Linked DNA regions of Cricetulus griseus. The protein of the gene in region 2 purifies or fractionates together with the protein of the main gene of each other region. This does not show direct contact. Links are inferred from orthologs where the notes say so. Each region holds a gene or a part of one and is shown on either strand. Other genes may lie near its edges. The genes, in order: Gsk3a, Axin1, Amer1, Lrp6, Dvl1, Ppp2r5a and Hipk2.

What was found.
Region 1: the proteins of Axin1 (region 2) and Gsk3a purify together in Homo sapiens (affinity purification with mass spectrometry; 12 studies listed by BioGRID and IntAct, with this or other methods). This does not show direct contact. The link is inferred for Cricetulus griseus from reciprocal best matches to the Homo sapiens genes AXIN1 and GSK3A.
Region 3: the proteins of Axin1 (region 2) and Amer1 purify together in Homo sapiens (affinity purification with mass spectrometry; 4 studies listed by BioGRID and IntAct, with this or other methods). This does not show direct contact. The link is inferred for Cricetulus griseus from reciprocal best matches to the Homo sapiens genes AXIN1 and AMER1.
Region 4: the proteins of Axin1 (region 2) and Lrp6 purify together in Homo sapiens (affinity purification with western blotting; 7 studies listed by BioGRID and IntAct, with this or other methods). This does not show direct contact. The link is inferred for Cricetulus griseus from reciprocal best matches to the Homo sapiens genes AXIN1 and LRP6.
Region 5: the proteins of Axin1 (region 2) and Dvl1 purify together in Homo sapiens (affinity purification with western blotting; 3 studies listed by BioGRID). This does not show direct contact. The link is inferred for Cricetulus griseus from reciprocal best matches to the Homo sapiens genes AXIN1 and DVL1.
Region 6: the proteins of Axin1 (region 2) and Ppp2r5a purify together in Homo sapiens (affinity purification with western blotting; 3 studies listed by BioGRID and IntAct, with this or other methods). This does not show direct contact. The link is inferred for Cricetulus griseus from reciprocal best matches to the Homo sapiens genes AXIN1 and PPP2R5A.
Region 7: the proteins of Axin1 (region 2) and Hipk2 purify together in Homo sapiens (affinity purification with western blotting; 3 studies listed by BioGRID). This does not show direct contact. The link is inferred for Cricetulus griseus from reciprocal best matches to the Homo sapiens genes AXIN1 and HIPK2.

What each region holds. Positions count from the first base shown.
Region 1 is NC_048602.1:9,986,737-9,991,011, reverse strand, and holds the start of Gsk3a (glycogen synthase kinase-3 alpha), read left to right. Parts: upstream 1-1,475; 5' UTR 1,476-1,585; coding exon 1,586-1,868; intron 1,869-2,039; coding exon 2,040-2,219; intron 2,220-3,484; coding exon 3,485-3,672; intron 3,673-4,275. UniProt on the Homo sapiens protein: Constitutively active protein kinase that acts as a negative regulator in the hormonal control of glucose homeostasis, Wnt signaling and regulation of transcription factors and microtubules, by phosphorylating and inactivating glycogen synthase (GYS1 or GYS2), CTNNB1/beta-catenin, APC and AXIN1.
Region 2 is NC_048600.1:45,773,066-45,776,565, forward strand, and holds part of Axin1 (axin-1), read left to right. Parts: intron 1-1,028; 5' UTR 1,029-1,109; coding exon 1,110-1,987; intron 1,988-3,500. UniProt on the Homo sapiens protein: Component of the beta-catenin destruction complex required for regulating CTNNB1 levels through phosphorylation and ubiquitination, and modulating Wnt-signaling.
Region 3 is NC_048604.1:74,628,269-74,632,526, reverse strand, and holds the start of Amer1 (APC membrane recruitment protein 1), read right to left. Parts: upstream 2,801-4,258; 5' UTR 2,543-2,800; intron 1-2,542. UniProt on the Homo sapiens protein: Regulator of the canonical Wnt signaling pathway.
Region 4 is NC_048601.1:14,385,050-14,388,982, forward strand, and holds the start of Lrp6 (low-density lipoprotein receptor-related protein 6), read left to right. Parts: upstream 1-1,133; 5' UTR 1,134-1,353; coding exon 1,354-1,408; intron 1,409-3,933. UniProt on the Homo sapiens protein: Component of the Wnt-Fzd-LRP5-LRP6 complex that triggers beta-catenin signaling through inducing aggregation of receptor-ligand complexes into ribosome-sized signalosomes.
Region 5 is NC_048595.1:425,243-427,818, reverse strand, and holds the end of Dvl1 (segment polarity protein dishevelled homolog DVL-1), read left to right. Parts: intron 1-761; coding exon 762-1,135; 3' UTR 1,136-2,076; downstream 2,077-2,576. UniProt on the Homo sapiens protein: Participates in Wnt signaling by binding to the cytoplasmic C-terminus of frizzled family members and transducing the Wnt signal to down-stream effectors. Plays a role both in canonical and non-canonical Wnt signaling.
Region 6 is NC_048598.1:3,652,438-3,656,603, reverse strand, and holds the start of Ppp2r5a (serine/threonine-protein phosphatase 2A 56 kDa regulatory subunit alpha isoform), read right to left. Parts: upstream 2,801-4,166; 5' UTR 2,658-2,800; coding exon 2,474-2,657; intron 1-2,473. UniProt on the Homo sapiens protein: The B regulatory subunit might modulate substrate selectivity and catalytic activity, and might also direct the localization of the catalytic enzyme to a particular subcellular compartment.
Region 7 is NW_023276806.1:189,295,553-189,299,833, forward strand, and holds the start of Hipk2 (homeodomain-interacting protein kinase 2), read left to right. Parts: upstream 1-1,481; 5' UTR 1,482-1,677; coding exon 1,678-1,721; intron 1,722-4,281.

The DNA.
Region 1 (4,275 bases), on a different chromosome or scaffold from region 2:
TGCAGCTCGTCCTCTTGGCTGTAACCACGTTGTCAGAGAGAGGGAGAGAGAGAGAGACAGGGAGAGAGAGGGAGAGAGAGAGAGGGGGAGGGAGAGGGAGGGAGAGAGAGAGGGAGTGACAGAGAGAGGAAGAGACGGAGAGAGAGAGAGGGAGAGAGAGGGGGAGAGAGAGGGGGAGAGAGACAGAGAGAGGGAGAGAGACAGAGAAAGAAGAGGGGGAGAGACAGAGAGAGAGGAGAGGGAGAGAGAGACAGAGAGAGAGAGGAGAGGGAGAGAGAGGGAGAGAGACAGAGAGACAGAGGGAGACAGAGAGAGAGTCCCCGAAAACAAGCGTTGGGACCCGCGGTCGGTCGGTCGGTCGGGCCGGGACTGTTCGTGAAACCCTTGGAGGATTCAGGGAGGAAACGTGTTTCTCTTCCCAATCTGTGGCCCTCGAGGGACTGGCTCCTTTTCCCAGCAGTGGCTGATGGGCTGAGGACCAGGGAGGAGACATTGTAACTCCTAATAGTTTCCCCCCGGGAACTCTCGTCCTTAACCTTTCACCTCCACTGCCAGCCACAGCACTCCCTTTGGACTACGTTTCCCAAGAAGCCCTGCACCTAGCTTCACAAAGAGTCAGATTCCACTGTGGACTCTTCCCAGCATGCCTCTGGCTGCTGGTCGCTCCCATCCCCTTCCTCAAAGATGAGGCTGTCTTGAACTTCATTTCCCAGAAGACACCAGGCTGGCTGAAGCACCGCGCTTAACTCTTGGTGTCGACTACATTTCCCGGAAGGAACTGCGGCGCAGCTAACTGGACAGAGAGAGCGCGATGCCCGCTCCATTTCCTATCCTACCTCTTCCAGTTACAGTATCTACTTGGGGTTTGAGGACCACCTGAGTCTTTTCCTAGCGTGCTTTACAAAACGCTCTACACCTGCAATGCGGTGAGGGCGTGGTGACGACTCCATTTCCCAGTGTGCTTCACAGATCAAGAACCGAGGGTGCACGAGTGCGGACTCAATCTCCCAGAAGGCACCCGGCACAGGAAGTCACCGACCAGCCCATGGGAGTGGATGGGTGACTGGACTCCATTTCCCAGAATGCTTCAGGGTTGGAGGCCGCTCCGGGATGGAGGGGCTAGGATTTCATTTCTGATAGCCTCTGGGGCTTGCTGTTGCATCTGTGTAATGAGCGTCTTGCCCTGAATGTGGCTTCCGAAGTATTTTAGAGTTGCCTTTGGTCAGGGTCGGGTGACATTATCCAGGACTCTACTTCCCGACGTGCAGCGCGAACCGTATTTCCCCCCCACCCCTTTTCCCTCTGTCCCCCCTCCCCGCCCCCCTCCCCCCCCGTCAGCTACTCTGAGGTCTTGAGAACTCCATTTCCCGGCGTGCTGTGCGAGTCCGAGGGTGGCGACAACGAAGCCGACGGCAGAGGGACTTCATCTCCCGGCGTGCCCCGCGGCGGGCGCTGGGCCGGAGCCGGAGCCCGAACGGCGCGGCCTGGAAGAGGCCGGAGCCCAGGGGAGGCGGCGGCAGAGGCGGCGGCGGCAGGGGCAGCCCAGGCAGCCCGAGCCCGCGGCCCTGGGCCTGCGCTCGGCGCCATGAGTGGCGGCGGGCCTTCGGGAGGCGGCCCTGGGAGCTCGGGCCGGGCGCGGACCAGCTCGTTCGCGGAGCCAGGCGGCGGAGGCGGAGGCGGTGGAGGCGGCCCCGGGGGCTCGGCCTCCGGCCCGGGAGGCAGTGGCGGCGGGAAGGCGTCAGTCGGGGCTATGGGTGGGGGCGTGGGCGCCTCGGGCTCCGGGGGTGGCCCCAGCGGCAGCGGCGGAGGCGGCAGCGCTGGCGCCGGCGCGGGCACTAGCTTCCCGCCGCCCGGAGTGAAGCTGGGCCGTGAGTACTTAGGGGCGCCCCGTGGGGTGGTGGTGGCGGCGGTGGCGGCGGCGATCGGGGTCCCCCAAGCCCGGCAAACGGCGGCGGCCAGGCTTTCTTTGGTATTTTTTTTTTATTATTATTTTTTATTTTTATTTTCTATTTTTTTTTTCTCTTTTCCCCGGGACCCAGATAGAAAGAAGCAGCTTGAGGTTCACCGTGCTGTTTCACACCGGGATCTGGGCTCTCGGGGCTCCCGGATAAAGGAGTTGGGGGGCTCCCATCCCTTGGAGTTTAGAATCAGAATTACCAGCATCCGAGAAGCAGAGGTCACAGGCCCCATTCTTCCAGTATCCAGTATCAAGGTCCCGGGTACTTGACGACGCTGCCATGCACTAGGGAACAGGATCAGAGGTCATAGTTACTTGCCAGTGGTGATCTAGGATCATTGTCCCCTAAGAGACAAGAATAAAAAAGATCACTGCCACCGTCCTATACGGAAAAGGGGGCGGGGGGGGGGCACTGGTTTCCTTTCCATCAGAAATGGGGATTTGGATGGAATGTCTCTTTTAGAAGTGCAGACTTAGGATTACTGATGTTCCCACAGAGCAGGGCCAGGCTTGAAATATAAGGCCTGACATGACCACCTTACCCATCGAAAATGTGTAGACTTGTGTCCCCAATGCTGACAGCGAGTTATCATTGCTGTTTGTAAATGACAGCAGATTGGGAATAGCAATGAGCTTCAAATCAAACAGTGTTCTTTTTAAAAAGAAAAAAATGGGGGGGGGGGCGGGGCTGGTTAGCCAAAAAATAGAATGGGGTGGCCTGGGTCACACCTACTATAAAATACGGGTTTGAAGTGGCCGTCTTTGGCTCTGGGGAAAAAAAAAAAAAAAAAAAAAGCAATGTAGGATTATTTTTCAAAATGTCATACACTGCCCCCTCCCAACTGGAATTTGTTGATAAGTTTTCGGAAGGTGACTGGGAATGGCACTAAGAATATCCCACACATCCCAATCAGTGCAGTGTTAGGTAAGAGCAACAGCAACCCCCACCCCTAGCAACAAGTGAGGGTCAGGGCACTGTCAGTTAGCCCCGTTCATTTCCGTCACTCAGGAGCAGTGGCAATGGTCCTTGATCTGCCAGGGAGGATTTAGAAGTTAGTGCCCTCAGACTGTGAGAATGGCCAGAGTTTTCTGGAAGAACGAACACCTCATAGTTTCTGCTCCTTTGAGTGGAAGATGGTACCTTGTGGTGGCCCTGCAGAAGGGGCCAAAGGCCGGGGAGCCCGGTGCGGCTGGGTTATGCACCGAGGGTGTTGATGGTCCCCCACCACCAAGTGACTTGCTGTTGTTTGCTAAAAGGAGAAAGTGGGTACTTACACATTAATGGAAATAAGTTTGCATGTCCGTGCCCTCCAATATGGGAAGCAGAATGTAGGGTTCCTTGGAGGGAGGCTCCGGGTTACTGGAGTAGCTAAGCTCCCCTCCCTGTCCTCAGGTATTGAACTCAAGGTGTGTGCCAGACAGTACTCTGTCACCAAGTAATCACTGTCCCTTCACCCACAGTGAGTTTTTTGAACAGCTTTCCCTCCCTGGGAAAGGTCAGTAGATTGTATTCCCTTTGTTCCTTAGGTGACAGCGGGAAGGTGACCACAGTGGTAGCCACTCTAGGCCAAGGCCCAGAGCGTTCCCAAGAGGTGGCTTACACTGACATCAAAGTGATTGGCAATGGCTCATTTGGAGTCGTGTACCAGGCACGGCTGGCAGAGACAAGGGAACTAGTGGCCATCAAGAAGGTTCTTCAGGACAAAAGGTTCAAGGTACCTTGAGTGGACTGGCGGTTTGGGGACTGGGAGTGACTGCTGTTTGTGTCCAGCAATAGGACTAGTATCTGGAATTTAATGTTCTTACTATTATTTATTAATGTGTGCATGTGTATGATGTATGTGTGTGCCATGATGCATATACGGAGGCCAGGCAACTGTTGGGAGTTGGTTCTCCTACCACCCTGGAATCTGGGGATTGAACCCAGGTCATCGGTCTTGCATGGCAAGCACTTCTATGGACTGATGTGTCTCACCAGCCTGAGCCCAGGATTTCAGCGGGACCTGAGCATGGGCCTCAGGAGAGAGGGAATTCCGGTGAAGTGAACTGGGGGAAATGTAAATTTCAGAAGAGCTGAGAGCTAATGTTTACTGGGCATTTCCTTGGTGTTAAGTGCTTGACAGGCAAGTTCTAATTTAATTGACCTGAAGCATCTCTGAGGGCAGGACCTGCTGCTATTCCTGCTCTATGTCAGCAGAAATGAGGCTGCATGGTAAGGGCCCCTTCGGGGGAAGGCTCTGGCCTGTAGACTCGGAAGTCCCTCTCCTCAACCACTTGGTCACATCTCTTCCAGAAGAAAAGGTCAGATAAGGCTGATG
Region 2 (3,500 bases):
CAGCAGCAAAAACTATTTCCCTAATCTCTAAGAGTGTAGGTGGTATGGTTTTCATCTGGTGGAGCTAAACCATATTTCCTGTATGCTTCTTTAGCTAAAAAGCTAAAGTATTTGTAATTCATTTTTCCCTATACCTTTTTTGCCTAAGTTTCTAGTTACCATTTGCTATCAGAAGGGACTCTTCTTCTAAGAGAAATTGGCAGCCAAGTAAGTATAGCTTTCTGCATCTCTGAGGTTGTTTATGTTGATGCACAGATGCCTCTACATATGGACTGTGTCCTTCCATCACTTTTCATCATGTGGAAGGTGGCACATGAACAGTTGATCTCTTAGCTGTTGAGAGCTGGAAGCACATCTTGCTATGTGGTTGCTTATATTATGAGGCATATCAAGTATGAAAAGTGATAGAGCAGACAGGTTAGTACAGAGACTGTTAAACTTGGAATGTGCCTATCCACCTTAGGATCTGTAGTGTGCCTCTTTGTTTCTGAGTGTCACTTGGGCAAGTGATATGGTTGTCTTTATGTGTGAGGGACCATCTAGGTCACTGATGCTAGCAAATGGCTACAGAGGCACCTTCCCTTCTTTAGCTTTCCTGTCCACCAGACAGTCATTTCTTTAGTGTCAGGATGGGTGATCTTCAGGCCTCATCACTGAAAACATCCCCTGAAAGAGAGATGCCCTCCAAGATCTAGTCTTTCACTTAGTAGGAGAGACATACATTCTTTTTTTTTTTTTTTTTTTTTTTTTTTTTTTTTTTGAGACAGGGTTTCTCTGTGGCTTTGGAGGCTGTCCTGGAACTGGCTCTTTTAGACCAGGCTGGTCTGAGAGACATTCTTGTAAAAGTTTCCAGAAATTGTCTTAATGATAGAACAAAACTTCTGGCCCAGATATGTCTCTGCTGGAAGTCTGCAATGAGTCTCTGCTCCAAGTGGGAGTGGGGGGGCATCACTGCACATCTCAAGAGAACCTCTGGTGTTTCCATGGACCACCTTTCCTAATCCTTGTCCTCTTAATGGTTTCAACAGGACAGATTGATTCCCTTGGGAGCTGTAAGTACTGAGGTATTAGGGTGCAGCGCTCATTGTTCACTGACGCAGAGTCCCAAAATGAATGTCCAGGAGCAGGGTTTCCCCTTGGACCTCGGAACAAGTTTCACCGAAGATGCCCCCCGGCCCCCAGTGCCTGGAGAAGAGGGAGAACTGGTATCTACTGATTCAAGGCCTGTTAACCACAGTTTCTGCTCTGGGAAAGGTGCCAGCACTAAAAGTGAGACCTCAACAGCTACCCCAAGACGTTCAGATCTGGATCTGGGATATGAGCCTGAGGGCAGTGCCTCCCCCACCCCACCATACTTGAGGTGGGCTGAGTCACTGCATTCCTTATTGGATGACCAAGATGGGATCAGCCTGTTCAGGACTTTCCTGAAGCAGGAGGGCTGTGCTGACCTCCTGGACTTCTGGTTTGCCTGCAGTGGCTTCAGGAAGCTTGAGCCTTGTGACTCAAATGAGGAGAAGAGGCTGAAGCTGGCAAGAGCCATCTATCGAAAGTATATCCTGGATAGCAATGGCATTGTGTCCAGACAAACCAAGCCAGCCACTAAGAGCTTCATAAAGGACTGTGTCATGAAGCAGCAGATCGATCCTGCCATGTTTGACCAGGCACAGACAGAAATCCAGTCCACCATGGAGGAGAATACCTACCCTTCTTTCCTTAAGTCTGACATTTATTTGGAATACACAAGGACAGGCTCAGAGAGTCCGAAGGTTTGCAGTGACCAGAGCTCAGGGTCTGGGACAGGGAAAGGCATGTCTGGATACCTGCCTACTTTGAATGAAGATGAAGAATGGAAATGTGACCAAGATGCAGATGAAGATGATGGCCGAGACTCTGTCCCCCCCAGCAGGCTCACCCAGAAGCTGCTATTGGAGACTGCTGCCCCGAGGGCCCCCTCAAGTAGACGGTACAGCGAAGGCAGAGAGCTCAGGTGAGTTCGGCACAAGGTGTCCATTTTCTATACACACCTTGGAGAACTGGCAAAGGAGCAAGGGAAAGATGGTAACAGGTGGCCTTGTGTTCAATCCCAGCTGAAATCTCTACTGCTGCTCTTGTTGAATTACGTGTGGTTCTATTTCCTACTTAGATGTCTTCATGCTTGTCATTATACCTTTTTATATTTGCAGAGTTGAGAATGCATCGAACAAGACTTAGATGTAATCCCACCTACTTGGGAAACTGAGGACGGAGGATCAAAAATTGTTTGTCAGTCTGGGCAACTTGTAGAGATTCAAAATGAAAAGTCGTGGAGGCTTATCAGAGTTCCTGCATAGCATGCTGGAAACCCTCCTTTAGTTCCCTCTTTAGTAACACATGTACTACTAAAGATAGGTCTTTGTGAATTATTAGAAACATGGAAATTCTTAGAAGTCATAATGTTTAAGCTTTACGTTTGAGCACAAAATTCATGTCATCTTTCATAAAAGAGGGACCTGATTGGAGACAGACACCCTAACCCTTAATAATGGGAGGGGAATGCATTCAAATGCATAGAAAATCCTAATTTATTTATTTTTAACTTTAGACTTATTTATTTTATGTGTATGGCCGTTTTATAGCCTTGTATGTATACCACATGTGTTTCTGGTACCCACAGAATTTCTGTCAGAAGAGGGTTTCAGATCTCTTGAGACTGGCTGGAGTTAACAAACACTTGCAAGCCACCATGTGGTGCTGGGATTCAAACCCTGGCCCTCTAGAAGAGCAACAAGTGCTCTTAACTGCCAAGCCATCTCTCCAAAACCCACCTCCCACACCTTACTATTTTAATCAATCTTTTGGATTTTTCCTGAAGGATGAGACAGTAGTGGGGCAGTTTCTGTGTCATTAGTTGTTGGGAGGTTCAGAGATTCAGAAACTACTGATGTCTGTGCTTGGAATTCCAGAATTGGACATTTTCCCTCCATGGTGTGGTCAGTAAGGGTGTAGTCCAAGGGTGCAACTGGAGGACAACAGTGCTCTCAAGTGACTGTAGCTTTGAAAGTTGTTTCTTCACTTTTCTGTTTTAATGTATATATATTTTTACATTTATTCCGCTGTGTGAGTGTGTGTGCGTGCGCGCCTGCACCTCAAGTATGGGGGGTGGGGGAGGCACTGCCCTCAGGCTCATGTGGCATGTGTGTGCATATGTGGTAAGAGAACTACTTTCAGGAATCACTTCTCTTCTTGTGAGTTCTAGGGGTTGAACTCAGTCATTAGGATTGGTGACAGCCTCCTTTACCTGATAACCTGTCTTGTCAGCCCAAGCTTTATTGTTTTTTAAAATTTAGTATCTTGGTTACAGGAAGCTTGTTTGGCTACCTTGGTGCTTGTTTTACTTGTGGGCAGAGTTTGTTTCCTGCTTATTTCCCTAGAGCTGATGACTAGAGACTTACCTTACCATTAATCTCAACATGAAAACCTTTCCCAGGTGCTGAGATGGTTGGTGTTTAGAACCCATACTG
Region 3 (4,258 bases), on a different chromosome or scaffold from region 2:
TTTTATCCTAACATTCAAGACAGGCAACTGTCAATAAGTTCTAGGCCACTGGCCTACAAACCAAGTTGCTGGATCTACCCAGTGAGACCCTGTCTCAAAACAAGTCCTCTCCCCCCCAAAAAAGCAAAAATCAAAACTACATACACACACCCTAATCACCCATTGTTCAATGATCTCCCCCTAAAAAGATTAGATCACATTCCAATGTTTGCTATTTGGGAATTCCCAGTACTGGGTCCTAACCTCTTTTGTACCTCTGAGCTATGCCATCTCAAGCAGACTCATGCTGCCTGCTGGCCACTCCCTTTCATTTCTAATTCTATCTACCCTTCCAGGACCAAACTCCTGTACTTCCCAGCTGCTTTACAAGATGACACTCCACTGCATATATAAATCTCTTCAATGGCAGTTTGCCTGTAGGCTCATGAATCAGCAACCAAAAGTATGCAGAGCCCCAGCGTTTGAGCAGTCCATACCTTGAGGTTATTATAGAGGGGACTGATTATGACTTTCTTTTTTAATGTAGTAACAACCCAATCCCCACTTACACCTACACACACACACACACACACACACACACACACACACACACACACACTCACTCACTCGAGCCTTGGGCACCATTTCCTTAAGTTTAATGTATTGGGACAAACAAACTAAGGCTAAAGGTGTTTTCTAAAACTCTAAAAAGACAGCAAGTCCTTCTGGAACATCCATCCATCAACTGCTTTATAATGCCAGGCTCTGAGAGAGTTATTGCTGAAGTCAAAGATTTATTTACTCTTATGAGCATTCTGAGAGAACCTAGATAACTATATGAGGCAAAGCAGTTAGGGAAATTTAACTATACAGGAGTTCCAAGAAAGGGGTCTGGTCCTCAAGAAGCAGCCTGAAATGTCCCAAGGAAAAAGCTGGTTGAGTACTGGGGCCTGAAAGGAAAAGGACTTGGACAGGGGTAGGGTGAGAGTGTCTGCAGGTAGGAAATGTGGCTGCTGTGCTGAAGTAAAAGCAGAAGAGAGCCAGACGTAGGATATAAAAGTCCAGCTGCAAGTAGAGGTTTGTGCTGAGGTCTGGTAAACATAGGTAGGGCTGCCAATAGTGTGGTATCTGCAATCCTGGCTGCTATCACGAAGGTTCCATGCTAACCTTCCCAAGTAAGAGATTTACTGGGTCTCATTGCCCCACTCCAAAGACGTCCAGCCTGCAAAGTCCCTTAGTCAAACCCCCTCTCTTATTCTTCAGGAATGCCTGAATAGTCCAGAATGGTGCATCGTAGGCCACATGAGTACTGCACTTGGGGGGGGGTTTGTTGGAATCTCCTGTGGTAGGGTAGGAAGTCCAACAATGCAGTGTCCTGCGTCCCGTCCATGCCAACGCTGCCAAGGCAGGCGGGCCAGAGCCGCAGAAGATGTTTGTATGCGGACAGGGCTGTCTAGACTCATATCAAGGCGAGTCCAGCAAGGGGGAGGATGGCTCTGCTGTATTAGTCCGGCTGCCGCCTCTGCCTCCCCCCTACCCATGGCTCATCTGGCAAGCTTAGCCCCTCAAAAGGGAGCTCAGAAGAAGTCACGCCTTTGGGCGGTCACCAGTGTCAAAGGTGTCTGCAGCAGACAATGACAGCAGTCTGAAGGCTGGGTGTTTTAAGTAACTGAGAAGTTGTAGGATTTGTCTGCCTTACAGACACCGTGTGTTCTTTACTACAATGACTGCCCCCTCCGCTTCTAGCACGGAAATCCCCCCACGATATTGTGCCCATTGCTATTTTAAACCAAAGGCTGGGGAGAAAAACGCGCCCTATGCCCTACAAGGGAAAAGAGACGAGCAGGGTGGAGGGGGGCGGCAACAAAGCGGCCTTGCAGCTTTAACCCAAGGACCAGTAAGAGCTCCCAGTCCAGCCCGCCTGCAATGGGGGTGGGAGCCAAATGAGACTGGAGGCCCAGGAGGGGGTGCGGCTAGTTGGGACCACAGGACCAAGGTTCCAAGGATAAGTGGGAAGTTCAGAAACCCAACTGTGCTCCCCTGAGGAGGAACAGACTGTGGATATCTTAATCCACCCTAAAGCCAGTCTCAGTCTGGCCCTTGCTAGCGCGCCAGCTTCCTCTGCAGAGGAGACATAGGAGATGCACCGCAGAGGGGAGGGGCCACAGCAAGGCCTCGCGGGTGAGCAGCACCGGCCTAACAGCTGTTCCAGCAAATGTACTACAAACAAAGCTAAGGAGTTCCCGGCCTGCAAACACATTCTTGGGGTGCTAGCTAGCAGCGCCCCTCCCGGAACCACGCAACAGCACGTGTGGGCCCATCCCGGCCTCCCCTTACAACCTAGAGGCGTAGCCCAGGCTAGTCCGCCCGCCTTCCGGCCCTCCCACCCCACCCCCAGCCACGATCTCCTGTACCCTAAAGACTAACGGCCTCTGGGCCCCTCACTGGACAGGACGCAAAGCGAGCTCCAAGAAACAGCAGCGAGAGGCCGGGACTCCGACCAGCCTGACCCTTGATGCCCTCTTCCAGGCGACCAGAGCAGAGCACGCGGGGATGCACTAACCTCCAGCAGGATGGCTCCTAGCTGTGCGCAATGCTTACCCTGCCAGGTCCAGCTCCCAGTGCGGTTATTGTCTGCTGAGCTGCTCTGCTCTGAGCTGGAGCCTCTGCTGAGAACGCCACCACGACTGCTCCTGCCGCAGCCAACACCTCGGCTACAGCATTCTTCTGCACCAACTACCCTTCTCCAGGCTCTGGGCAGCTCCCCCATACCCCCTTCACCCTGGACTCCACAGTTACAGGGAGGGACGTCCGTGATCTGATTGGCAGGCATGCAGTCCAATCGCTACAGTGGGAAGGCATGCCCTGGCCCGCCCACTGTTTTCCTTGGTGCTTCTCTCTTTAAATGCAAATAAGCCGGGCGTGGTATTGGCAGGGGGCGGAGAGGTTGCAGAACCCCTAGCCCGGGCTCCCACTTCCGCCCCCACGCGGGGCGGGTTTCAGCGTGGCTACACACCCGACTCGAAGAGCTAGTCCCGCCCAGATGGGACTAGCCAGATTCTTGGAACTTGGTTTCGATTTTGCGAGCATTCCTGTTTCCGTGGCCAGTGCTTTCATGCTGCTGCTCCGGGTTGCTACCAAGGAGTTTCTCCACGTTGCTTGAAACCAACTGGGAGAAGTGGGGCGGGGAAGTGAGGAGCCATAGGGATTGTGGGGTTTGCAGAACCCTTTGGCACCGTGGCTGGCTCATTATTAAGTGTGGCAGCAGGGCTTAGTGGCTGGGGTTCCCAGAGAGGAAAGTGACTTGCCTTCCCCCACACCACACCACCTGCCTCCCCAGAGCCACAGCTTCCTAGCTTGCTCTGCACACTTAGGGAAGGCAAGATAGAGGTCAACTTCCATCAGTAATGGAAGGGCCTCGTACTGCCCAGGAAAGGGAAACTGCTTTTCAGAGATTACTTGAACTGCCAGCGACCGGGGCATATTTGGAATACACACCTATGCTGACCTTTCAGAGTAGCTTTCACGTTGCTTCTCTGGGAAGTTAACTGTTTCTATAGTTGACTCTCACCCCAATTCCATACCTTCCAAAGTACAAGGAATGAGTCTCACGCCCTCCATAGCACTCTCCTTCAATTGTGAGTCTCGTTCTGTGCAGATCCCTTTTCTGGAAAAATCTAAGTGCTGAAAGAAGTTTTGTCTGAGTCCTAACCAGAGGTCAGACTGAGGAACTGTGAGGAGGCCTGTCAGACCAGCCTTGCAGGCTACTGTGTCTGGAATGTGGCTGGGAGCCAGCTGAGCTTAGGCCTCTAACTAGCCTGAAGACATTAAGAGGCATTAGTAACTGCCAGTGCCAGGTGAGCTGGAGCAACAAAGAATCCAGTTGTATAACCAGCTCTGGAATGTACAGAAATCCCAACTTGAAAACTCTGTCAAAGTCTAAAAGGGGAGGGGGAAGTGGATTGAGGTTGCAGAGCTGGAAAGGATTAGAGAACAATGACACCCCCTCCCCCTTGCAGAGTTGTCTGCTGCTGTACTGGATCCTGTCTACCTTGTAAAGATCCAGATGCTGGACTGGTGAGACTTGGACTGCTGCCACTGCCTGTGTGAAGCAAAGGAATTGACATGGCTGTTAGAGGTGGGATCTACTTTCCTTTCTGCCTCAGACTTGCTGTGAGACCTTGGCCAATCTGCTCTCTTGTCTGAGCCAGTCATTCCATTTCCACAAAGCGGTAATAAGCTCTATGAGTTCAGTCCAACTCTTTCTATAATATTTCAT
Region 4 (3,933 bases), on a different chromosome or scaffold from region 2:
AAAAAAAGAAAAGAAAAAAGTCTGCATTTCTGGGAAGGCACGAAAAAGGCAAGGAAAAGAAAGGAAATTGTTTTTCTTTCTTTTCTTTCTTGGCTTATATTCATTATACATAATGATGGATAAGATTCAAGCATGTAATTTTCTTTTAACGCATTAACCCCTATGCTGGTCCCTTTCTCCCCATCTCACTAGCCTCCTTCTTTCTCCCAGATAGTCACCACACTTTTGTTTACTTATCATATATGTGTCAGCTCGTCTGTCTGTCTGTCTGTCTGTCTGTCTATGTATACACACACCCACACCCAGACAATCTAGATCCACATACGAGAGACATTTGTCTGAGTCAGGCTTACAATGTGTATAAAATCTAGGACCTACAATCTTTTTGTCTTTCCAAGTTTGGTCTTTTCCGCATATAGGTGACTTTGTAACTATGTACCGCAGGCTCCACACTGAGAGAGAGGAAACATACTTTCTTTAAAAACAAAAAAATAATAGTCTGGCTCATATCACTTCATACAACGATTCTCAATTCAGCGCACTACAAGTCTGCCTCGCGCCGGCTTCTGCACAGCGTCCACCCGGTTCACCGCTCGCTCGCTCGCTCGCTCGCAGGGAGCGAGCGCAAGCCGCGCTGGCACTGTTTCTTTTCCGAGGCGGGCGCAGCGCCCGCCGCAGCCCGGGGTCCCGCGCGCAGCTCCACCTGGCTCCGCGGCCGGGCGCACAAAGAGCGGCGCGGGCGGCGACGGGCCGGGACGCAGAAAGTAGTCCCGACCACGCCGGCCCCAGTGTCGGCCGACGTCGCCTCACGCCCTCCGCCGCCCGGGGAAAGAATCCCATTGGAATGCGCCCCGGGAAGACCTTTTCCCCGTCAGCCTGCCGGGGCTCGCGAGGCCCAGCTCGCGCGGGGGTGGGGAAGCCGGAGGGCCGTTGGCGCGCGCGGCGGTGGCGGCTCCCGGGTCCGGCGGCGGCGCGCTGAGGAGGTGGGGGGGGGCGGGTCGGGCGCGCAGGGAGACGGCGGCGGCCCCGCGGCGGATCCCTGCGCCGCGGCCGGAGGAAGAGGCTGAATGAGGCGCCGCGCGGACGTGGGGCGCCGCGGGAGGAGGCGGCGGCATGGGGCAGGCGCTGGGCGTCGCGCGAGCCCGGGCCGGAGCGGCGCGCTAGAGCCCTGACGTGCGCTCTTCCCTTCCTTTCTTCTCCTCCTCCTCCTTCTCCTCCTCCTCTCCTCCTCCCGGCCGCGGAGAGCATGAGCGTGCAGACCCGCCGCTGCGGCGGCCGCCCCGGCTCCTCGCTCGCGCGTCCCCTGGCCGCCGGACGCCGGTGAGGGCCGCGAGCGCGCGCCGAGCGGGGAAGATGGGGGCCGTGCTGAGGAGCCTCCTGGCCTGCAGCTTCTGCGTGCTGCTGAGAGGTGAGGCGAGGAGGCCCCGGTGGCAGAGTTGCCGGGGTCGGGGACGGGGGGGGGAGGGGAGGGGAGGCGGCGGGGAACCGAGGCCTGGTGCTGGGGGAGCCGCGCGAGCAAGGGGGCCCGCGATCGGGGGGCCGCGCCCGGCCACGGCGCACACCCCTGCCCGGCCCCGCGGCGCGGCCGGACAAAGCTGCGGGCCTCGGGGGGACCCCCCCCGACCCCCCGCACCCCGACTGTGCCTCGCTCTGCCTGCACTCCCGGGCAGAAAAGGGTCTTTTGTAGTGGGGCTCTCGGCACCGTCGGTGTTGACCTCCTCCTCCTCCCTCCCTCCCTCCCTCGAAGCCCCCACCTTTCCCGTGTCTCTTAGGTGAACTTTTTATTTTCTTCTTCTTCTTCTTCTCCAAACCTCACTGTTTCCCCCTCTCCCCTCCAGGCCTTGTAACAACTGATAATTGGCTTCCGTTTGGGATAGAATGATCCTGGGTGGGAGCACAGTTGGAAATTGACTCTAGGGTTATAGGTCGCGCTTTTCAGCATCGGGGACTCTTCTGAGCCCATAATAAAACACACACGTTGCCCTCGCAACCCCTGGTCTTCAGGACTCGCCCCCTGTCTCCGTTTGTGCAGTGTACAGTTGGCACCAAGTAGGGGAGTCATCCTCGTGTGGCGAGGAGCTTATCCTGGGAACTAAATGATCATTTGCTGGGCACCCCCTGGGAACTGCTTGGCACTTGAGTAAATAACAGAATGCCCTGGGTAATTTGCTGTGGGAATCGCCTAAATTTAGTGTTTGGAATTGGACTGCGAAGCTGACACCTACGTCCTGTCGAGCGACAGTTTGCAAAGGGAAAGCTTGTCGATGGTCTTCTCCAGTTGGTGAGAGGTGGGGCTGATGCTGTTGAGTGTTTCACCTGTGCAGGAATTTAGGCGTCTCTTGACGCTGTGGCTTGTAGTTCTGCTTTTGTTCATTTCACCTGTGCCAGTTAATGGGACCTCTCCGGGATTCTTAGTTATTAACAAGCTAAACTTTTAACTCCTCTGGAAGTAAGGAAGTTGGCAAAGCAGGATAGTAACTAACATCTTATAAACCGGACAGGTGTGTCATCTCTGGGTATGTGAATAAGAGTAGTAGCCTTTAAAAATAGGCAAGCATTTTCTAAAAATAAGCATTTTGTTCCAAATTGTCTAGTCCTACTTGTACACTCCAGAAAGATAATTGCTGTTTAATTTTCATGGTAGAGAACTTTATATTATTAGATACTTGAGAGATTTAATAATACATGTTTATTTTGTTATAGTAAAGTCTACAAAAAAAGGAGATTTTGCTATAGCATCGAGAAAGTTGCAGTTGACATGAGAATATAATTGACAGGTTCATAAGAGTTAAATGTAAGAGCCAGTGGTTTGATCAGAGTTGGGAAAAGCCAAATCCATAACCTAGGATGGCTAGTTGCAGTTCTTAGCCGGGCATGGTGTGGTGCAAATGCTATTTGTTTTGATATCAGGGTTGAGTCTAGAGTTGAGTAGATACATTACTTGGTTGTATTTGTGGTGATAGTTGAGAAGCACGAATAGTTTAGGAGCATGATGCTAACAAGCCCAAGAAGAAATAACAGTCCAAAGTGGAGCTGCCTTTAAATTTAGCATAATAATGGTGTGAGGAGATCTTCTGTTTACTATTTAATTGTAGCTATCATTTCAACTGAAACTGTCTTTTGATATAAAACATTCTTGTTCCTACTTTAAATTCTCTTTACTCCTTGATAATGTTATCCTCTGTTATAAATGACAGTTAGTTACCCTTGGTTTCCCAGGAGCAAAGTTTAGTTCCTTGTAGTTGAAGAAAAGGTGGCACTTTCAGACTGGGTGTGTGGGTTTGGGACTTTTGGCCCTGCAGCCTTGTTTATCAGCAGTTGAGAGTCATTTACTACTGCCAGTATCAGAGTCACTCCCTACTCCTATTATCAATCGACAGGTATATTGGGAAAAATGTGAAACTTGAGGATTTCACCCTGAAGTCTTGAGTTTAAAGTTAGATCTTCATTATCCCTGCTCTATTTCTCTCGGCCTCAGTTTACCTGTAAAACACAGGTAATGATACCTGTCTGTCTGATTTGCAGGGTTATTAGGTGTGTTTAATGAAGTAACATATAAAGTGCTTTCCAAATATTAATTAAAAGTTTTAAAGACAAGATCTTTCTGTGTTACCCAGGCTGACCTCTAAATGCAACTGTTCTCCTTCCTCAGCCTCCTGAGTGCACAACACATGGCTATATATGTTATTTTTGTGTGAGTGAAAACTTTTGATTATTTATGGGTGTTGGCAATTAAAGATTTAATTTAAGATCCAGGATTGCTTAAAGTAGATGGTATTGTGGTCATTTGCAAGGAGCAGGGGCATTATCTGCCAGGTAGATAAAGGTAGAGCAGGGATTTACTCCATTCCCCCGCAAGTGTTCTCAGAGGAGCTTCTCCTGTGCGTATGTATAGCTGCAAATAAGGCAGGTAGGGCTGTGCTCTATTAGATT
Region 5 (2,576 bases), on a different chromosome or scaffold from region 2:
AGCAGGCATCTTAGGCAGAGTGGAGCACAGCAGCCATGTTACACGGTCTGGAGAAAGACTCGAGACAGTCACCTTTGAGGACATAGGATGGGAGAAAGGAGAGGTTGGGCCAGAGGGTGGCAATGCCCAAGGGGAAGCTGTTGAGTGACTCCTAATCCTGAACAGGCCCTTGCATGCACCCAAGCTCAGCTTGACCCACAATAGTCCTAGTTGGCCATTGGTGAGCACTGGACTGGTGTGTGACTTGTGCTATCCCTTGCTTTGTGCTGAGCAAGCCTTAGACTGAAGGACTAGCAGAGTGGACCCTCGGGCCGGTAAGCCAGGTCCCCCTGTGTCCCTCTCAGCATGTCCCCAGCCAGCACGTGTTTTCAGGTTCCCACCACTTTCCGGACAGAAGCTAAGAAAATTAGCTGACCAGGGCCCTGGGGTTGGGTGGACAGTGGGTCTTTGGGTGGTGAACCCAAGATGGCTAACGGGAATGCTGAGCACACAGGGCCTTCATTGGTGTCTTGGATTCTCAGCTATAACATCAGCCCTTGGTTCAAGCATTGGGGTTAGGTGCCAAGCTGGTCCCCATTATCTCTCCTGTCTGCATTTGCCCCTAGCTCCTTGTCTTTCATCTGCTCCTGGTATCTGCATGGCTGCCATTCCCCTACTACCCCCAGGCTCACCAGATCCTGCCCTGGCTGTCTGGGAGCAGCTGGTGTTCCTGTAAGTGGCTAGGCCTGGTGTGGACTTGGTTGTCTCTTCCCTTCTCCCAGGGAGCAAGAGCAGTGGGTCCACAAGGAGCAGCCATCGGACCCCAGGCCGAGAGGAGCGCCGGGCAGCTGGAGCTGGGGGCAGTGGCAGCGAATCAGATCACACGGCACCAAGTGGGTCTGGTAGCACTGGCTGGTGGGAGCGTCCAGTCAGCCAGCTTAGCCATGGCAGTAGCCCTAGAAGTCAGGCGTCAGCTGTTGCCCCAGGTCTCCCCCCACTGCACCCCCTGACAAAGGCCTATGCAGTAGTGGGTGGGCCACCTGGAGGGCCACCTGTCCGGGAGCTGGCTGCTGTTCCTCCGGAACTTACAGGTAGCCGCCAGTCCTTCCAAAAGGCTATGGGAAATCCCTGTGAGTTCTTTGTGGACATTATGTGACTATCAACCAGTGTTTTCAGTGGTGCCTGTGGCAAGAGTCTGTGGTCCTGCTGTGCCAGGACCTCTATGGGCTTGCCTTAGTGATGGCCAGCCAAGATAGATCAGCCGTGGGGTCTGGGCCAGGGCAGAGGGAGCAGGCTGCAGAGGAAGGGCTGAGGGCAGCAGCCATATTACTAGGATATGGGCTTGGCATTCTGCCTGCTCTGTGGTGCGGCCCAAGTATCTGTAGAGTCTTGTGAGGGGACATCTCTGTCTTTAGATCCTTAACACAAGTCTCAGGGACCACCTTCTGGTTCCTTTTTTGGAAGTGACCTCCATTTAGGACAAGACGGACTCTTTTGGGCTCTGTGCTCTCCCCTCACCCCCAGCCTGAAACTCCCAGAACTGTGCACAGGGACCCAGGCCTACTCTCACTGAGTTCATGGGCCTCACCTGTCAGGCCAAGGTGGGGGGTTCTTGAGGGGTTAGACCAAGCCTTTAAACCTCTCTGGCTGCCCATGTGGGGTCTAACTTATTTATTTATTGCTAGTCTGCCTGCTCTGAGGGTGGCAGCTGGTTACCCAATGGGGGCAGGTGCATGTCCCTTTCCCCACTTGGTACTCAGCACATGACAGCACAGTTTGTACTGAAAGTATGTGGAGGATGGCTAGTACGGGAGACAAGAGAGGCCAGGCACCTGTATACTGTCTTAGCCTCAATGGAGGAGTGATAGCGCACACAATAGCTACGGAGATGGAGGTCCTGTCCTGTCATTGCTATCCTGGTGGCTCTCTACCAGCTTGTGCCACTGCCATTCTGGCATCACAGTCCCACATGTCTGCACTGTAGATACTGTGTCAAAGTCTGAGCAACTGGGTAGTTCACATAGAGCTGCTTCTGTGTAAATGCTGCTTCTGTGTAAATGCTATTTTAAACACTAAAAAGCGTTTAATTTTATGGGACTGATGTGTGGTCTGTTTCTCTTTTCTCCAGCTTAGCTGCTTGGGATTCAGGTGTGGGGGCCAGTCCAGAACTGACTCAGGTCTGGTCCTGCCTGGAGTTGGAAGACACTTGGTCATGTGGCACTGTCCCTGGTGCTGGCCAGTTACAGGGGTCTCATAGACAACTTTTCTGTCCTTGGTACTAGGAGCAGACTCTAGGGGGTCCTGGGTGGCTGGTGCTGGCCATGGTGCTGACCCCTACCATTGCTTATGCTCTGTCCAAGGTGCTGGTAGTGACTTGGTTCTCTCGCAGGCTAGGGTTGGGCTAGGAAGGGAGGAGGTGGGTGTTGGCCTACCTATTGAGTGCCATCTACCTGCTGGCTTTCTTGCTTTGTCCCAGTGCATACGTATGCCTAGCTTTTTATTTCTGGGATATATTTATTAAAAACAGAATATTTATATTTCTGTTCAGGGTGCTGAGGGCCCCAGGCTGGGCATATTCAGGCAAGTAGTACCTTCTG
Region 6 (4,166 bases), on a different chromosome or scaffold from region 2:
CGCCTGAAACTAACCTTCTTAAGCCTCAACTGTCTCCTAAATAGTTACTAGTGTCAACCAAAGAAAGATATTTGTGAAAATACTGAGCCCTAGACTGTCAAATAACAGCAAAACCACAGTAGGTGTGAAAAGGCAGATGACAAGGGTCAACAATACACATTTTGGGTTGTTCCAGTTGTCAGGGACAACACTGGTTTGTCTTTTTAAAGATAACCATTTGAAATACTAAGCTGTTATTATACATATAAGCAATCAGCTGTTTTACCAAGCCAATCCTCCCAGAAATTTAAAACAAAACAGACTAGAGACACTGAAAGACTACCTATTTTAAATGACAAGTTTCCTAATTATTCATTATCAAATAGCAAGTTTTAGGTGAAAAAAAAATTACATCCTACATGAATGTAAGTTGCCAGGCCAGAAAAAAAAAAAAGATTCATATATAATTTTCCTAATTTTATTTCCCAGCACCCAGCTCAGAGGAACTTACTATTTATTTTGAACGTTTTCAACATTAAAAATCATGCAGCCCACTCACCTACATGATTTTGCAAAAATAAACTGAAAAGGTTGTACTGTTTTGTTAATCCTTACTCACAGTCTGCTTTTAAGAAAACTACTTGGCATCTTTCCAGTCCGGATCCGTGTGGACAAAGTGTAGAGTAAGCAGGTTGATATAAATACTTGAAAGATCTCGGATGCCCACGGATATCTGAATCACTCCACAGTAAGACTGTATTTCAGAGCAGGAAGAATTCTCTTTCATACTAAAGGGCTTTCTGGTGGTGTTTTTGTTAAACCCCTAAGTGGGGGAGAAATACTACTGGCAGAAAAAACATGCAACACTGTTGTATCAAGGGCACTGCCAAAGTACCAAGTAAAACAATTCAATTTTTCAAAGCATTTTGGCAACTACAGTAAAAGTTCTTTTTCCTACTCTAGGGTTTTATTTCCAAGTAAAAGTTTTATTTCCTCAATTGAATCTTCATCAGTTTATAGCGAGTAACACCTTTAGGAATAGAACACAAACAAATATCTAAAATCGGTCTGGAGTTTCAACTTTTTTTCTACTACTGACCAAATTCTGTACATAAACGCAACTTATGGTACCTGCAACTTCTTGAGTCAGACCCCATGTACTGAGAATAGGGTTAGTGATTCTATAAATTTCTGTCAGCTTTAAAGGCAAAGACCTATTAAAACTGCAGCTCTTGAGACTAACCAGATGTTTAAAATCAAATTATTAGGTAAAAGCACTAAAGTACAATATGAAGAACAAGAATAACTCACTTGAGAGGATTAAATATGAAAGAAAAATACTAGTATCAAGACTTCAAGCTAAAAATAACTCGATAAACTAATGAAAAACAACCAAGTACAAAATAACTTTTGTATAAAAACTTAAACCTCTGAATAGTGATTCAATAGCCTAACAGGTAAGACAGGATTGTTTCACGGCTATGGCTGCACTCCACTGACCGCGCTGTTATCAATTCAAACAATCCTAGTATGTCAACAACAAAGGAAATACACATTGAACATTTATACACTCTTTTCAAAAGTCCGCTGTGGTGTGTCCTTGACTCAGACGCACCCCAAGAGGCAGATGTCGGGTCTGAACGGGGTTCCCAATCTGTTGTTGGTCAACTGTTGAGCTGGGATTTTCTTTACACTCCTTCCTTGCCTGACGGACTAAGTTAGGATTCACAGACCCAAAGACAAATCAGAACCAGACTGGCCTTGAAAGAAAGGATGCTGGATCTCTGTCAAACGCACTGAAAACTCTGCTGATCGTTTATCTATTTAGGCATGAGCCCTTAATTTGTTGGCCTTGTAAATCATTCTCTAGACTCCTATCAGGTTTGCAAGAATTTCTCAAATACCTAGGAGCGTAATTATCTTCCCACAGTGACATCCAGCTCATAAGACGCAAAGGCGTTAAGACCATTAAACCAAATGCAAGTAATTCTCAAAAGGACAAGCAAGAGCGCCAGGAAAACAACTTCGTGAAAAGCCCCCAAACCCAGTGGGAAAAGTAAGTGAGCCAAAAGAAGTGCCAAGCACTCCTGCAAGGCATTGGGCACCACACCAATTTGAACCACCGTGCAAAACCTCACTCACGAGGTGCCGGCAGGCACAGCCGCGGGAACCGAGCTGCCGGTGCACGGCACAGACACAGTCCTCCCCGCACACCTCTCCAGAGACACCCGCGGTCTTCTGGGGGCTGACACCGACGCCTCTCCACACTCGGGGCAGCAGCCAGCGCACTCGGACCCCGGGTCTGGCGACCGAGGGGCGAGCAGAGAAAGTGAAGCAGCAGCTGGCGAAGCCTGGGGGGAGCCAGGGCAGAGGCTCGGCCGAGTGGGGAGTCGGGGTCCCCGGGGCCGCCACCGGGGGCATGTGGGAAGAGGTGCGGGGCTCGCCGGGGTGGGGGGGGAGGCTGGGGGCGGGCGGGCGAGCGCGCCGGCTTTACCTTTGAGCTGGGGCAGGGGGTGCAGCTCCGCCTGGCCGCCCTGGCTGCGGAACTGCGACGAGCCCTGCGAGCGCTTCTGCCTCTGCGCCTTGCGCACCGATTTCCGGGTGAAGCCGTCCACTTTCTCCGCGGCCGAGATGGCGGCGGCGCAGGAAACCGGCGCGGGCGGCGACGGCGACGACATCTCCGCGGCCCGGGAGCCCGGCTGGCCCGGGGAGTCGGCGAGGGACGGGCGCGGCGAGCCTGCGCCCCTGCGCCCCGGGCCCGGGCGCGCCGCCTGGCGCTCCGCGAGCTGCTCCCCGCCCGACAGCGCCTCACGGCCGCATCCCGGCCGGCGGACGGGGGGGGGGAGGGGGGCGCGGCGCGGCCGCCACAAGTGTGCTGGACGCCCGCCGAGGGGGGGCGAGCGGGCGAGCGGCGGGCGGAGGTGAGCCCGAAGTTTGGACGACGGCTGGGGGCGAGCGCGGGGTGCGGACCGCGGGCGCGCTCGGCGCCCCCTTTCAGCGCGCGGAGCCCCGGCGGCTCCTCAGAGGCCGCTACCCGCGCCGTCCGCCCGGCCGGGAGCCTCCTCCCGGGGCGCTGCTGCCATCGCCGGTCCGCGCGAGCCGCCGCCGAGCGCTTCGCCCTGCCTGTCCGTCAGCGCCGCGCCCCTCATCGCGCCGCGGCGGCCACCCGCGCCCGGACCCTGCGAGCGAGCGTCGCCCTGGCTCTGCTCCCCCGCGCGCACACGACGCCCACGGAGCACGCCGGGCGAGCGACTGCTACAACTCGAGCGGGCGGCTGGGACGGCGCGGGGCGGCGGCGGCGGATGGCTGCGGCGGCGGTGGGGCGGGCAGGGGGCGCCGTGCGCGTGCTTGCCGTGCGCGCTCCCGCGGCCCGGGGGCGGTCCTGGGGGGGGGGGCGGAGGGAGGGGTTTGGCCGACAACTTCCGCGGGGTCCCACGGGCCTCCCGAGGCTCCGGAGGGGGCCGGGGCGGGAAAGCATGCCAGTGCCCTCAGCCAATCACAGGGCGAAGCGGGGACGGGGCGTGGCCTCCCGGATGTCTCTCGGGAGTCCAGCGCGGGGAGGGAGGGGGGTGCTGCGTGACAGACGCGGGCTGCAGCCAATCGCAAGTGGAGGCGGTGAGCGGGTGGGCGGGGTGTGCCTGTGCGTCACAACTGCGAGGAACGCTCTCCGGAGGGACGGGCGCGGGGAAACGCCGCCGTCGGCTCCGGCCCGCGCTGCGCTCCTGACAGAGGGAGAACGGAAAAGGAGACCAGCAGCTCGGGAAGCAGAGGCGCGGCGGGCACGGCCAGAGAGGACCTAAGAAGGCCGACTGTGGCGTCAGCGGGGCGGGGCGGGGCGAAGCGAAGGTGGCGTCACAGCCATGTGATTGACGGGTGGAGAGGAGTGAGCTCGTCCAATCGGGACGCGGTGCTGGGCTCCTGGGCGGGCCCTGGTCCTTCGGGTCCGAAACCGCGTAGTTGATGGTTTGGGAGGCTTTTGTAGCGCCCGAGGTTTGGGCGCCGCCGCGGTGCTCTGAGCGCTGCTCTCGCCTGGGGTTTGGGCGAGCTCGCCTCTGCCACCTCAGAGAACTCTGCGGGTCCACGCCCTCTGAGAAGAAGTTCTCCGTTTCGAACTTAGCCCCGTTTGACCCCTTCGGCTGGAAGGCCTTCGGTCATCCGTAGTCAAGTTCAGATCTCGGTGGAGATTC
Region 7 (4,281 bases), on a different chromosome or scaffold from region 2:
CCAATACTGAGGCGGAGAAGATGGCCGTCAAGGACCATCCCAAGACGAAGAGAAACGTATTTTCCAGTAACAAAACAAGCTAAGTGTGTGCAGGAGCTGGCTTGTCTTTTATTCTGGGAGGATGATGAGCACGGGATACAGAGGAGGGAAGGAGAGTGAGAAAAAAATGGGCTTAAAAATAAAACAATGGGCTTGTTTTTAAAGAAAGTTGTAGAGTTGGAGGCCGTCGTTTTACATCCCCACCCCTCAAGACAGCTTTTAAACTGTTTTGACCTGTGATCCGCAGATGGGGATTAATATAGTTTACATCAGGTGTCCAGTATTTATTCGTGAAAACAAAGGGTTTAAGGTACAACAGTTGACCTTCCTAAGGGCAATGAGCTTTAGTGTTTTTGTTGTTGTTGGATTCTGGTAATATTTTGTTGGATTTTTCAAAAACACTAAATTTGTTTTGTGGTGTATTCATGTGTCGGGACTCAACAAGTTTTCCTAAGTTGGAGGCGATGGCAGGGCAGGACTCCGAGGCTGGGAGAGTTTAAACAACGTCTCGTTCGCTCGGATCGATCCGAGCGGCGCGCAGGAAAAAAGCCAAACCCTGGAACCGCTAGGTGGGACCCTGCCACCCGGATGCTGGAGGAGAGGGGGTCAGGCGTCCACCCCGACGCTGCCTGTCCCCGGGCAGCCTCCGGAGAGAAAGGACTGTGTGCCCATTCCCTCCATTCATCCCCCGGCGTGTCAGCGAGCCCCGAGCCCCGAGCCCGCACGCGCTGGGACCAGGACACTTTTCCCCGGCAGTGGGACCGTGCTCGGGGGCAGCGGATCGCGCTCCCCGGCCTGGCTCGCCCGGCCCGGCTCGCCCGGCGCGCGCCACCCCCCCCCGCGCGCGCGCACTGCCCCGCAAAAGCACGCGCACACAAAGTTGTGGCCGCCTCCGCCGCGCAGCTCCGGTCGGCGGCGGCGGCGGTCAGCGCACCGCGCTCTCGCCCGGCCCGGCCCGGCTCGCACGTCCGGCCTCTCGGCTCCCCTCGGGCCGCGCTCGGCCCCCGCCGCCGCCCGGCTCCGTCCTTCGGCTCGGCCTTCCCCGCCTTCCTCGCATCCGTGCCATCGGCGCTCGATTGCGCGCGGACTCCCTGGGGCTCTTCCCGGCTCGCTCGCGCTCGCCCGCTCGCCCGCCTGCCCGCCGGGCCCGCCCGCTCGTCCGGCCCGCCCGCCCGCTCGCGCCCGGCCGCGCCGCCCCGCCCCCGCCCCCTCCCCCGGCTCCTCACGGGCAAACTTTTGCCGGCGCCCCCGCCTCACAGCCATGCGGAGCTGAGCTCCGGCCCGGGCCTGGCCGCCGCAGCCCGCCCGGCTCCCGCGCCTCGCCGGGAACCCGCCCCGGCCTCGGCCCGGAAGCCTTAGCCGCCCCGGGCCGGGCGAGCCCCCCGCGCAGGGCCCGGGCCGCGGCCACCGGCGGCGCGGCGGCGGTGGTGGTGGTTGGTGGGCGGCGGCCGGCGACGCGCTCGGCCCGCTCGCCCGCTCGCCCGGCCCCCTCCCCCGGCGCCGGCCAAGTGAGGCGGTGATGCGGGCGCTGGCGGCCTGGGCTGCGCCGAGAGCGGAGGAAACACAGGCTCAAGATGGCAGATTCCCACTGAGGCTGAGGGGGCCGAGCTCGCGCGCCGCGTTCCCTGCTCCGTTGCCATGAGCCGCGGACACCCCGGCCCCGATGGCCCCCGTGTACGAAGGTAAGCGGCGTCCGGCCCGCGCACCCCGGGGCCCCCGGCTTGCCCGCTCGCTCGCTCGCTCGCTCGCCCTGCCGGCCAGCCCGCCGCGGCCCCCGCAGCTTTGTTCTGCCCGCGGCCCCTCGCCCCGCAGGCAGCCCCGGGCCCCGGCCGCGGGCGCTCGTGACCCTCCCCGGTGCCCCGATCCCGGGCCCAGACGGTGCCGGAGCCGGCCTGGAGCGGGAGCTGCTGCCCGGGGCGGGGAAGGCGGCCGGGGGGTGTGTGCCGGGTGGGCTGCTGCCCAAAGAAAGCGATGGGGGCGGCGTACGGGGCGAGCCGGATCGCGACTGCTCTGTTTACCCGCGGTGGACCGAGGGGATGCGAGCCTCCCACCACCTTTATCTAAATGGTCTCCTTCCTGCTCGCCCGTCCTCTCCGCTCCCACCCCGCGCGCTCCTTTATTCTTCCCGAGCCTCCGATATTTTTTGGGGGGTGGTGGCGGCTGCGGCGGCGGCGGCTGTGGAATCCAATTATAAGGGGCCAAGCGGCGAGAGAGGGTAGAGATGAAAAGTCCATTTCAGACCCAGGCAGAACAATGAAATAGGCTTAAAATCTCCCCGCAGTCGGCGTGCGGGAGGCAGAGTGTAGTTTGGCTCGGGCTTGGGGGGCGGAGGAAGGGCTCTGGCTCGGCCCTGGCTGCATCTGGGCGCCGTGCACCTTCACCTGGCGCTGGCTGCTCTCCCCGGTCTGACTGCCTTCATGAGAAAGGGAAGGTAAGGCTGCCTCGCAAAGCACTCTTTCGGTTCTCTTCAGTCAGTTCCGTCAGCTTGCAGCGAGGAAAAAAAAAAAAAAAAATCAACCCCGAATCAACTAAGTTTTTACACTTCTGTGTGTTTTTGTGTGCTTGAAGTACGGGGGCTTTTTTTTTTCTTTTTCAACCAAAGTGTGCCCGATTTTTTTTTCCAGTTATTTTCATCGTGAAAATGTGTCTCTCGTGAAATCATTGAAATAACAGCCCTTTTACATACTTTTAGCGTGGGTCCATCTGGCTTTCTTTCGGTTTTGTTCAGATAATTCTGTGGATGAAATCGCAAATGAGACGGAAACGGGTTTGCCAGGAACCAAGAGGAGGGGCGAGGGGAGATTGTAATCCTACGAAGCTGGGGAACTCTTGGGGCCCCAGCGAAACAGGGATCTCATTAATAGTTTTATCTCTGTTAGGAGAGGCTGGTTTAAAAAAATAAAACTTATCTGAAAAGAAAATCTGTTATTAGTTCCAGGGCTCCTAATGAATTAGGTTTCTGCACGGAATAAAGTTACCAGTCCGGCTCTGAATAATGAGGCTGTAAATAACCTATGGACTGTAAATATTTTTTTCCAGAGTCTCTGAGAAACAAAGGGGCTGTTTAGAAAGCAACAGAGAAATGTTATTCCAGGGGCTTTCCTCTTTGATTCTGAAGAACACAAGGTCCATTTAACCGTTCCACAAAACAAAACAAAATTTCAGATCACTCCACCACATAGAATGGGAACGAGCCAGTGGGCATGTGAACACGTAGGAGAGACCATGTCGGGCATTCATTGTTCATCTGTTCTAGGGGAGGGGGTTGCAGTCAAAGCTCCCACTGTCTAGAGTGTTAAAATGAAACAGTTTTCTCTTTATTAAGTACCTCCTTGAGACTCCCTCTGCTGGACACTCGGGGTGAGCATTTTAGAAGGAACTTGGCGTTGAATCCACAACTGTAAAAGAGGGCTGCTTTTCCTCTTCCAGGGGGCTGGCTAGGTGGGTTGAGGTGTATTTTGTCAACTTTGTACAAAGTCCTTGGGGACTGCATTTATCATGTTGATTTCATTCGAATCCATGAGGAATGTAGGCTACCCCCCCCCCCCCGGGGGCTAAGTAAGGCCTAGTATGGTTGGTTCTTTCAGTGATATGGCAGATAAAGAATTACAGGTGCGTAAGGCATTACAGTGTAGGACTGTAGATCTCAAGGGTCTCGGCTCATAGTTTTATTTTCCAACCCTTCTCTATCCCAGGCAACCTAATTTGTCACCTTTTTCAACCCTGGGCTTTCTTGAATCTTGTCTGTGGGTTCTCTGAACTGTTCTTTTGTTTGTAGCTTCTATGGGATCATCTCTGTACATCTTCATAATTATCTTCCTAGTCTTGCTGAGCACTGCTTCTCTACCAGCCCAGAATCACCTAGCCCAAAGCTCAGGCCTGGTCTTTCTCAGAGTGACTGTTAGGCCTGCTGTGAGACAGATGAATGACCTCCATAGTCAAGGACTATGCTATGAGGACCTACATTAACTCACAGTGTGTGTGCCCAAGACGACAGTGACCTCTCCCTTGACCCGAAGTGACAATCTGTGGATTTAGTGAACCTGATTTTTACTATTATCTCAACCAGAACCCAGCCCCCCCCCCCCCCCGTGTGTGTGTGTGTGTGTGTGTGTGTGTGTGTGTGTGTGTGTATGTGTGTGTGTGTGTGTGTGTGTGTGTGTTGTCTTAAATGAGCAGGGCTTTTCCTGCAGACTTCTCCAAGAAAAGGGATTTCCTCCTAATAATCCACAAGATCCTTCT